Arabidopsis thaliana: one gene and its partner. The protein of the gene in region 1 interacts with the protein of each later gene in a pairwise test. Each region holds a gene or a part of one and is shown in the gene's direction. Other genes may lie near its edges. The genes, in order: GATA3 and MYB52.

The links.
Region 2: the proteins of GATA3 (region 1) and MYB52 interact in a two-hybrid assay, tested with the Arabidopsis thaliana proteins (one large-scale study listed by BioGRID).

Annotation. Positions count from the first base shown.
Region 1 is NC_003075.7:16,551,222-16,555,672, forward strand, and holds GATA3 (GATA transcription factor 3), read left to right. Parts: upstream 1-1,923; 5' UTR 1,924-2,258; exon of another isoform or gene 2,259-2,473; 5' UTR 2,474-2,478; coding exon 2,479-2,760; intron 2,761-2,861; coding exon 2,862-3,389; 3' UTR 3,390-3,651; downstream 3,652-4,451. Other genes in the region: AT4G34690 (uncharacterized protein), read right to left, coding at 4,242-4,451. UniProt on the Arabidopsis thaliana protein: Transcriptional activator that specifically binds 5'-GATA-3' or 5'-GAT-3' motifs within gene promoters. May be involved in the regulation of some light-responsive genes.
Region 2 is NC_003070.9:6,175,576-6,180,076, forward strand, and holds MYB52 (myb domain protein 52), read left to right. Parts: upstream 1-1,905; 5' UTR 1,906-2,188; coding exon 2,189-2,306; intron 2,307-2,426; coding exon 2,427-2,852; intron 2,853-3,282; coding exon 3,283-3,488; 3' UTR 3,489-3,714; downstream 3,715-4,501. UniProt on the Arabidopsis thaliana protein: Transcription factor that confers sensitivity to abscisic acid (ABA) and salt, but tolerance to drought. Regulates secondary cell wall (SCW) biosynthesis, especially in interfascicular and xylary fibers.

The DNA of each region.
Region 1 (4,451 bases):
GACACGTTCTCTTTTCCCCCATTACGCTCTCGTCACTCCTCACCAGCCTGCTCCCTTTTCAAACTTTTCTGTTTTCCCCCTAATTTTACGAAAATCAAAATAAGTTAAAATGGAATATATACCAACTTTCAAAATAAAAAATCTTCAAAACATATCAATGTGTATATAGCGACACGAGTATAAAGTCCCACACACACAATAAACTAAGGTTGGCAGAAAAAAATATACCACCAAACTAAGTGATCGTAACTACTCTTTCGAAAAAACCAAACCCTAATCTTGTTTTAAGACTAAGACCAATTATACTAAAAAGGAAAGATTTCATAATTGGAAGGAAAGTAGTATACTTTGATAGTTATTAAAAATAAAAATAAAATGTTCAAAAGATTTGGCTATAGTGGTTGCTTTGGTGAACTCCACTCCAACGGTGGTTTGCACCATCTCCATTCCCATCACTACCAAAAACCCACACTTCTTTTTTTTTTTCTTTCTTTGCGTAATGTGGGTTAAAAGGAACTTTATTTATGCTCTTGTTTTTGGGTGTTTGAATCGAATTTGAAATCAACATTTGTTTTTATTTTATTTTATTTATAAAAAATTTGTGTGTTTGGAAAGTTGTAAAAGGTTCAAGGGGTTTCGGTAGAGATAATCTTAATTTGGTTTTTAACACATCGACTTAATCCAAATTGACATCTCTAATAGGATTCAGATATTATTATATCTATCCTGTAATTTTCCATAAAATGTAATCAATATGAGATTTGGTATTAGGGTATGAACTTAATGTATCTTATCGGAAAAATGTTTTCTCCTTTGGGTTACCTAATCTCATATCTAATGCCAAAAATAGCATAACATAGAAGATTGGCTAGATCATATGTGGACATCACCGACTGCATGGCAATGTTTGTTTTATAATCGCGTAATACTTGTTTGTCATTTGCCAGTTCTCATAACAAATGCGAAAATAATCTTATATATCCTTGGTAATGCATGTAAAAATTAATTTTGCTTCATGAATTATTTTATATTCTTAAATTCATGACTGAATGAAATTTCTTATCTATATTCAGACGCAGTATATGGGACATCTAACTCAATTTTAAGATTCTAGATTGGATGATTTTATGTTGTTTGACAAAAAAAATAAAAAAATTGGATGCTTTCTATAAATTTCATGCTTTGTATTTTATTAAATTTTGAGCTATTATTGTATTAGTATAGAATTGAGCTATTATTGGATTGTTCTTATCACTTTGTTAATTTCATTTGGTCCTTTAGTTAGATATCAAAATTTTTAAAATTTTCAAAAAAGATCACAGGTTTAATCGGTGACTTTCAATAATACTAGTTTTAACACGACAAGCAAAATATTGTGCATGTATACTATTAAATTGTTAATGTTAGTACTATGAAATAACAAATTCATCACCATTGTAAAACTTAATGTTTCAACATTTCCTAAGAAGAAATGGTCAACCCTTTTGACAAGACAAGCTAAATTGGCATGGACAAGGAACACAGCATCATGATATAACCCTTCACAATAATTATAATAAAAACAATCAAATTTGTATTGAATAATGCGAAACAGACCTGACTTATCAATATGTGACGAAGGATAAGCCCACGCCAAAAACATCCACGTAAAGAACTCATTGATTAGGTCCAAAGAAATTTGGAGAAAATAAAACAAATCCTGACGTGAAAATAAAAAGAAATCATCACTTTTTTTTATCTCTTTTATTTTCTTCTAAATACAAAAATTGAATAATCAATTAATTTTTCATGTATGCAAACAATTTCTTAACAAGTCTTGTGAGCTTTAAATGAAATATAGAGGCGAGTGGATTAGACTTGATCCTGATCTTTTATTAAGCTGATCCATATTTTACATTGAAATAAAGGACACACCGTTTAACACGAAAATGAAGAGACAAATAAAGAAGAGGAAAAGCATTGATTCTGAAATACCAATATAGTATCATTCGTGAAAGAAGATTTTGTAATATTCCACAAACTTAGAAATTAGGGGAAAAGAAAACAAAAAAAAAAGATAGGAAAAAAGAGCTTTAACTTTTGGAATTGGAAGAAGCACAAACACACACAAAAAAAAAGTCTCTGTTTTACCTTTTAACCCCTTCAAGAATCCTCCTTTAAGTTCAGTGCCCTCTTACTTTTCTCTTATCGGAATATCTCTCTTCCTCTGTTTCTTCGCCATTCTCTCAGCTTTTCTCCTTCTTCTTCGTCTTTGTCAGGTAAAGAGATACGATGAGCATATCCCACATACCTCTCTCCTCTTCTCATCTTTTTAGTTTCTCGAAAGTTTGCATGCGCCGACTTTGTTATAGGTTATAAACTTTAGTTTTAAGCCTATTTTCGTATGTTTATGGTTGTTGTAATAGTTGAGAATTCAGAGTATGTCAAGTGAAACTTAAAAAGAATTCTATATGTATGTGTGTATGTGTTAAAGAGTGAATGGAGCTGTGGACAGAAGCTAGAGCCTTAAAGGCAAGTCTAAGAGGAGAATCTACTATATCTCTCAAACATCACCAAGTGATTGTGTCGGAAGATTTAAGCCGAACTTCTTCCTTGCCGGAAGATTTCTCCGTTGAGTGTTTCCTCGATTTCTCAGAAGGTCAAAAAGAAGAAGAAGAAGAAGTTGTCTCTGTTTCTTCTTCACAAGAGCAAGAAGAACAAGAACATGATTGTGTCTTTAGTTCACAACCTTGCATCTTTGATCAACTTCCTTCTTTGCCGGTAAATTTCTAAACTTCTTTATACCTTTTCTTTCTCTTCTTATAATCGAAAGATTTTAAGTTATATTTTTCTTGATTTCTTTTTTTTTGGGATATTTTTAGGATGAAGATGTGGAAGAGCTTGAATGGGTATCTCGTGTTGTGGATGATTGTTCATCACCAGAAGTTTCACTTCTCTTAACACAAACACATAAAACCAAACCAAGCTTCTCAAGAATTCCGGTTAAACCAAGAACCAAACGGTCTCGGAACAGTTTAACCGGTAGTCGTGTTTGGCCACTCGTTTCAACCAATCATCAACATGCAGCAACAGAGCAGTTGAGGAAGAAGAAACAAGAAACTGTCCTTGTGTTTCAACGAAGATGCAGCCATTGTGGCACAAACAACACACCACAGTGGAGAACCGGTCCGGTCGGTCCAAAAACCTTATGTAATGCATGTGGAGTCCGGTTTAAGTCTGGTAGGCTCTGCCCGGAATACAGACCGGCGGATAGTCCGACGTTCTCGAATGAGATTCACTCAAATCTTCATAGGAAGGTTCTGGAATTAAGAAAGAGTAAAGAGTTGGGTGAAGAAACAGGTGAAGCTAGTACTAAATCAGACCCAGTCAAATTTGGCAGCAAGTGGTAGATAAGACTTAGGTAAAACCTACTTTTTGTAACATTATCTGTAGTGTTGTAATTTAACAACTTGCTTCTTAACATTTTGAAACTGTTTCAGGAACTAGTCTTAAGTAAACAATGGTTTTCTATAAACAAAATTAATGTGTGTTTTTAATGATGTAAGACCACCACCACCACTACTAGTACTTGGAATGATTTTGGTCCATGTGTAGTGGCTTAAATAGACTTTTTGAGTAAACAAAATGCCAAATGGAAGAATCATCTTGAAAACTCCAACATTACTATATAGTATATATATTATTGATAAATCTTGAGATTCGACATATTTATTTGATAATCGATGCAAGCATAATTAATTTAGACATTTATTCAGCAAAAAAAAAAATTAGGTATGTAATTAATTTATACATATCGAATTACTAAAGGTTAATTTTCAGGCTAATCGTAGATAAACGATTTCGTTAAATCCCCATGAAAGTAAATTTAGGCAAATGTATGATGCTATGTCTGCCGCATAATTGTTTAATCTCACCATTTGCATATCAATCTTTAAGGGAAACATCCTTTTAATGTGTTTATGTGGCCTTGTCTCCGTTTTATTGCTACTTTGTGTCATACTCAAAATAAGTTGACTATAAAGCTACATGTATCTACACAAAAAGAGAGTTTATTTAGTATGCTTGCTTGGGAATAAGCAGGAGACAAAAGAAAACATCCAAGTTAAAACATGAAGCAGCAAAAGAGAGTGTTCATCCACAAAATGTGAGAGGTTTCTTAGCATATAAAGATATTGATATAAATCTAATCATTCTCGTAAGAACAAGAACAAAATGAAAGAGCCAAAAACTAAACCCATCTTTCACTTTTTAGATACGAGAAGTGCCACGATCTTTTGAAGATCTTCCTGATTTTGCTTTGCAACCTTTGTAATCTCATCAAGCCGGTGCATGTAGAGAGCATTTTTGGCACTCATCTCTTTCTTAAACTCATGGATAACCACACTCTTCTTGTTTATCTCCAACCACAAGTCGGCTAGGCTTCTATCCGTTTTAGAGGTGTTCCATAACCC
Region 2 (4,501 bases), on another chromosome or scaffold:
AGAGATGATCCCAAATTGGTCACTAATTGATGTGAGTGCAATGATGCTATACATACTACTGTACATATATACTAGATATTACCCACTGCTGTAACCAGCAAGCTCATTAATTATCCCCATGATTCAATAGTCATCCTTGCTTTGCCTTTTTGCTTTCTGATTAACCAATTTGTTGATAGACCTAACCGGTTTAGTGTAATCAGGATCCGGTTTGCTTTATTTGAAGAAATCTTATTTGAAGAAATTCTTTTTAGTTGTGAAAGATTGTATTTGACTTCCTTCCCAACTAACTCTGCCTATTTTCCTACTAATCTCCACCAGTAATTAAGTTTGGCTTTGTTCCTACACACGTGCAAATGACTAATGAGTTCTAAAACAGTTTGGTTATAGCTTACCTAGGATTGAATTGATTAGTTGATTGGATTATAAGCTATATATCCAATCAATCCTTATAAATATTCAATAAACTGTTTTGCAAGCAATCTCAAGGAAAATTTGAACTTTGAAGTACAATACATCACTTTTCAGGTTTTCAACTTATTCCTATCATTTTATTTATATTTCATATATTTATTTTTAATGTTCTTAAGTATTTAGGCTATGTTATTATATCTTATCTGAATGTTAAAAATAGAAGTCGGTAACCATGAAATAGAAGTCGGTAACCAATGCTACATTTCATGTTTTTTTTTTCAATTTAAATTTGTTAGAGAACTGAGAGTACAAATTAAAAGCCAACCGTCGTAGACAAGACAAGAGAGAAAGTTGGTGATGTGCTTGAAGACCAAATATATGTTTGAGCAAATAAGATGTCAAATTCATTTTTATAAAGTACAAAGCCACTGATATATCAGTCAGTTAACCTATTAATTAATTAAGACACAGAGTCGTTTTAGGGTTTCCACGTTGGTCCGATTTAAGGAAAATAAAACATTTGGTTAGGTCTGAAAGGTTTAACAAAACATATCCAACGATATTTAATTACTTTATTCTACTTATACGTGACCTGCAATTAAATCATAGGTCCCCAACATCTTTACCAAACTCTCTCCTTCCCCTCCAGTATTTTTCTCTTAACAATGTATTGATATTTTCGAAGTTATAAAACCATTTTAAAACTTGTAACAATTGTCCATTAGTTATACCAAAAGGCAATACGGTTGAAATTTAGTCATCGAGTTCGATCCACAAATCCTGAAATAATAACCGTTACATTCCCCCTTAATTCTGGACGTACGAGTTCGCCTTAGTTATTTTTTATTGTTGATTTAATTTGCGGTTATGTAAAATTTCATAAATTTGGAAAATATTGTCCACATGTAATATACATAGCTAGACTTTTGAGATTTTCATTGCTTGTAACATTGTTGTTTTATGTAGTTAAACACTAACAAATGTAAGTTTTATTTATTTCTTTCAAAGTAACACTAATACAACATCATAACAGGTAAATGCAACTATAGATTTTGCAATCTAAATGTTCGTTCTTTGAACCATATATTGTAGTTAACTAATTATAGCGTTCTCCCACCTTGATTCATATTCTAGAAGTTGTCCATATATAAAAAGCTGACCATAATAATTAATATACATGTGTACATGTAGCTTGTAAAAGGTTATACGAACGTAGATGAAGTATTGGTGGCTGAAGTAGAGGGTTTAGGTTGGAAAAAAATATATTTAAGGGTAGACGTTGAAAGTTTAACGAAAACACCCCACCAAGCAATCTCTTCCCTCCTGTGTAATCTCCTTTTTTCTTTTCATTACTCATCAATTACTCAATTATTAAAACTCTCACATAAACCAAAATAATGTATATAAAAATTACGAAATAAATGGAAAAATAAAAAAGGGTAGATTACTTAAAAGGAGTGTGTTTGGTTAGGGAAGACGTTGGCATCAATCGCCGGTGAAAACCTCTCTCCAAACTTTCCCTCACTCTCTAACGAATCTTATTATATTCATTACTTTCAATTCTTTATATAATATCTAAATAAATATACTTATATAAATACATGTATGTATGGTGCTGTTGCTCTTCAGCTTTCTTCTTGTTCCTACATACCCATCTTCCCTCACCTACATCAAACCTAGGGTTTCTTAACTATATCAACAACATATATAAATTTATATATAGGTTGTGATTTATTGAAGATCATAAAGATCAAAAGGAGAGAGGTATTAAAAAATGATGTGTAGTCGAGGCCATTGGAGACCTGCAGAAGACGAGAAGCTAAGAGAACTCGTCGAACAATTTGGTCCTCATAATTGGAACGCCATAGCTCAGAAGCTCTCTGGTCGATCTGGTAAAACTGACTTTATATTAAAGTCATTTCTTTAATTTCTTACAAAGCATATATAAACTAGGGTTTAATATATTTATATAAAAATATATATGTTGGTTTGATTGGATCTTTTGGTTTCAGGTAAGAGTTGTAGATTGAGATGGTTTAATCAATTGGATCCTAGGATTAACCGAAACCCTTTCACGGAGGAAGAAGAAGAAAGGCTTTTAGCGTCTCATCGGATCCATGGGAACAGATGGTCTGTGATCGCTAGATTTTTTCCCGGTCGAACTGATAACGCTGTTAAAAACCATTGGCACGTCATCATGGCTCGTCGTGGCCGAGAACGGTCCAAGCTCCGTCCACGAGGCCTTGGCCATGATGGCACGGTGGCTGCGACTGGGATGATTGGTAATTATAAAGACTGCGATAAGGAGAGAAGATTGGCAACCACAACCGCTATCAATTTTCCTTATCAATTCTCTCATATTAATCATTTTCAAGTCCTCAAAGAGTTCTTGACCGGAAAGATCGGGTTCAGAAATAGTACTACTCCAATACAAGAAGGTAATTAGATAATATGGCTTGAATTTCTGTGTTTATGTAGCTAATATAGCTGCACAAAGATAAAACATGTGTAGCCATACGTATATTGTATTTTGTGTGAATACATATAGGCATATATAAATTACGAACTCATAGAAAACATGTACATTCGTCATATTAATGTGCAAGTAAATGAGTAATGGTGCATTAATTCGTATACAACTTGATTTAAAAAAAAAAACGATTTTTGTATAGATTATATGGGTTAAAATTCATTGTTTTCTGTAAACTCTAAATTAATTTTTGATCAATTTTTTTTGTAAAGATAGTATGAAACGATCATGATTTTCATAGTTACATGCATGCATATGGATGTACACTTGCATGTGGGTACGATTACATACTTGTGTAACTTCCAAAACTAACTTTTGGACATGGATTAATTTGTCAGGAGCAATAGACCAAACTAAACGACCGATGGAGTTCTACAATTTTCTTCAAGTAAACACGGATTCGAAGATACACGAATTGATAGATAATTCAAGAAAAGACGAAGAAGAAGATGTCGATCAAAACAACCGAATTCCTAACGAGAATTGTGTTCCATTTTTCGACTTTTTGTCTGTTGGAAACTCTGCCTCTCAGGGTTTATGTTAATTTGTCCGTACCACATGTACTATAAGGTGGACCATATGTTAATTAAAGATAATGTAGAAAGTACTAATCAATTAGAGCTCTTGTTTGAGCCAAATGTGAAAATTAGTTAAGCCATCCCAAACATGTTCTTGTATAACAAATATAAGGTTGTACTTTTCCACCTTTATCAGGTCTAATTTTCTATTTTTATTTTAAGGATGTTTAATCAGACTCATCACCATTCGGTATTTTTTTTTCTTCATATTTACAGAAATTCAATCAGACCAATCGATAAAAAGGATTGAGCAGAAGTTAATTTATTTTAAAACATTATTAAGTTTAAAGGTTTGTCATGAAACCAATCTTAAACTGAAATTCTGAAGTAAAACCAAAAATTTATTCCAAACTGGCCTAGTTTCACTTTATACTCATTTTGGCTATGGACTATGGTATATATTGTCTAAATTACAAGATGCGTATGTACTGAGAAAATTCTGTGTCCTGAATCCGGATTAATCTATAAATTATCGTAATAGAAGGACTTGAGAGTTGAGACCAAGATTTTATATTTTGTGGAATTTAATTTGCAATCGTCGGATATAATTTTTGTGTTGTTGCGTTCTTAAGGAAGATCAAATATTATAAGGTTTGATTATTAACCGAAGAAAATATGTCATTGGTGCCTAAATATATGTACCACCAAATGAACATCCTTTTAATACAGTACTACTTAATTATAATTTCATGCAGACTATTTTGACTCATATAACTTGTGATGATGATATCAAAAAAAGAAAAAGTTTTTTTTTTTTTTAAACTAGTGGTTTTATTTATGAGAGCCTTTTAACTTCTAAAATAAAGTTTGGTTTAGTTTCTTTAATTGTGTGAAGAATAATAATAAGTTAATAACGGAAAGACGAAATCGAGGTTGGAGTATAGATATGATTAAGTTGGGAGTAGTTATCAGCCACCAAGAAATACAATCAAAAGTAGCAATCTACCTTTGTCTAGCTTAAGAAAACACGAATAAAATA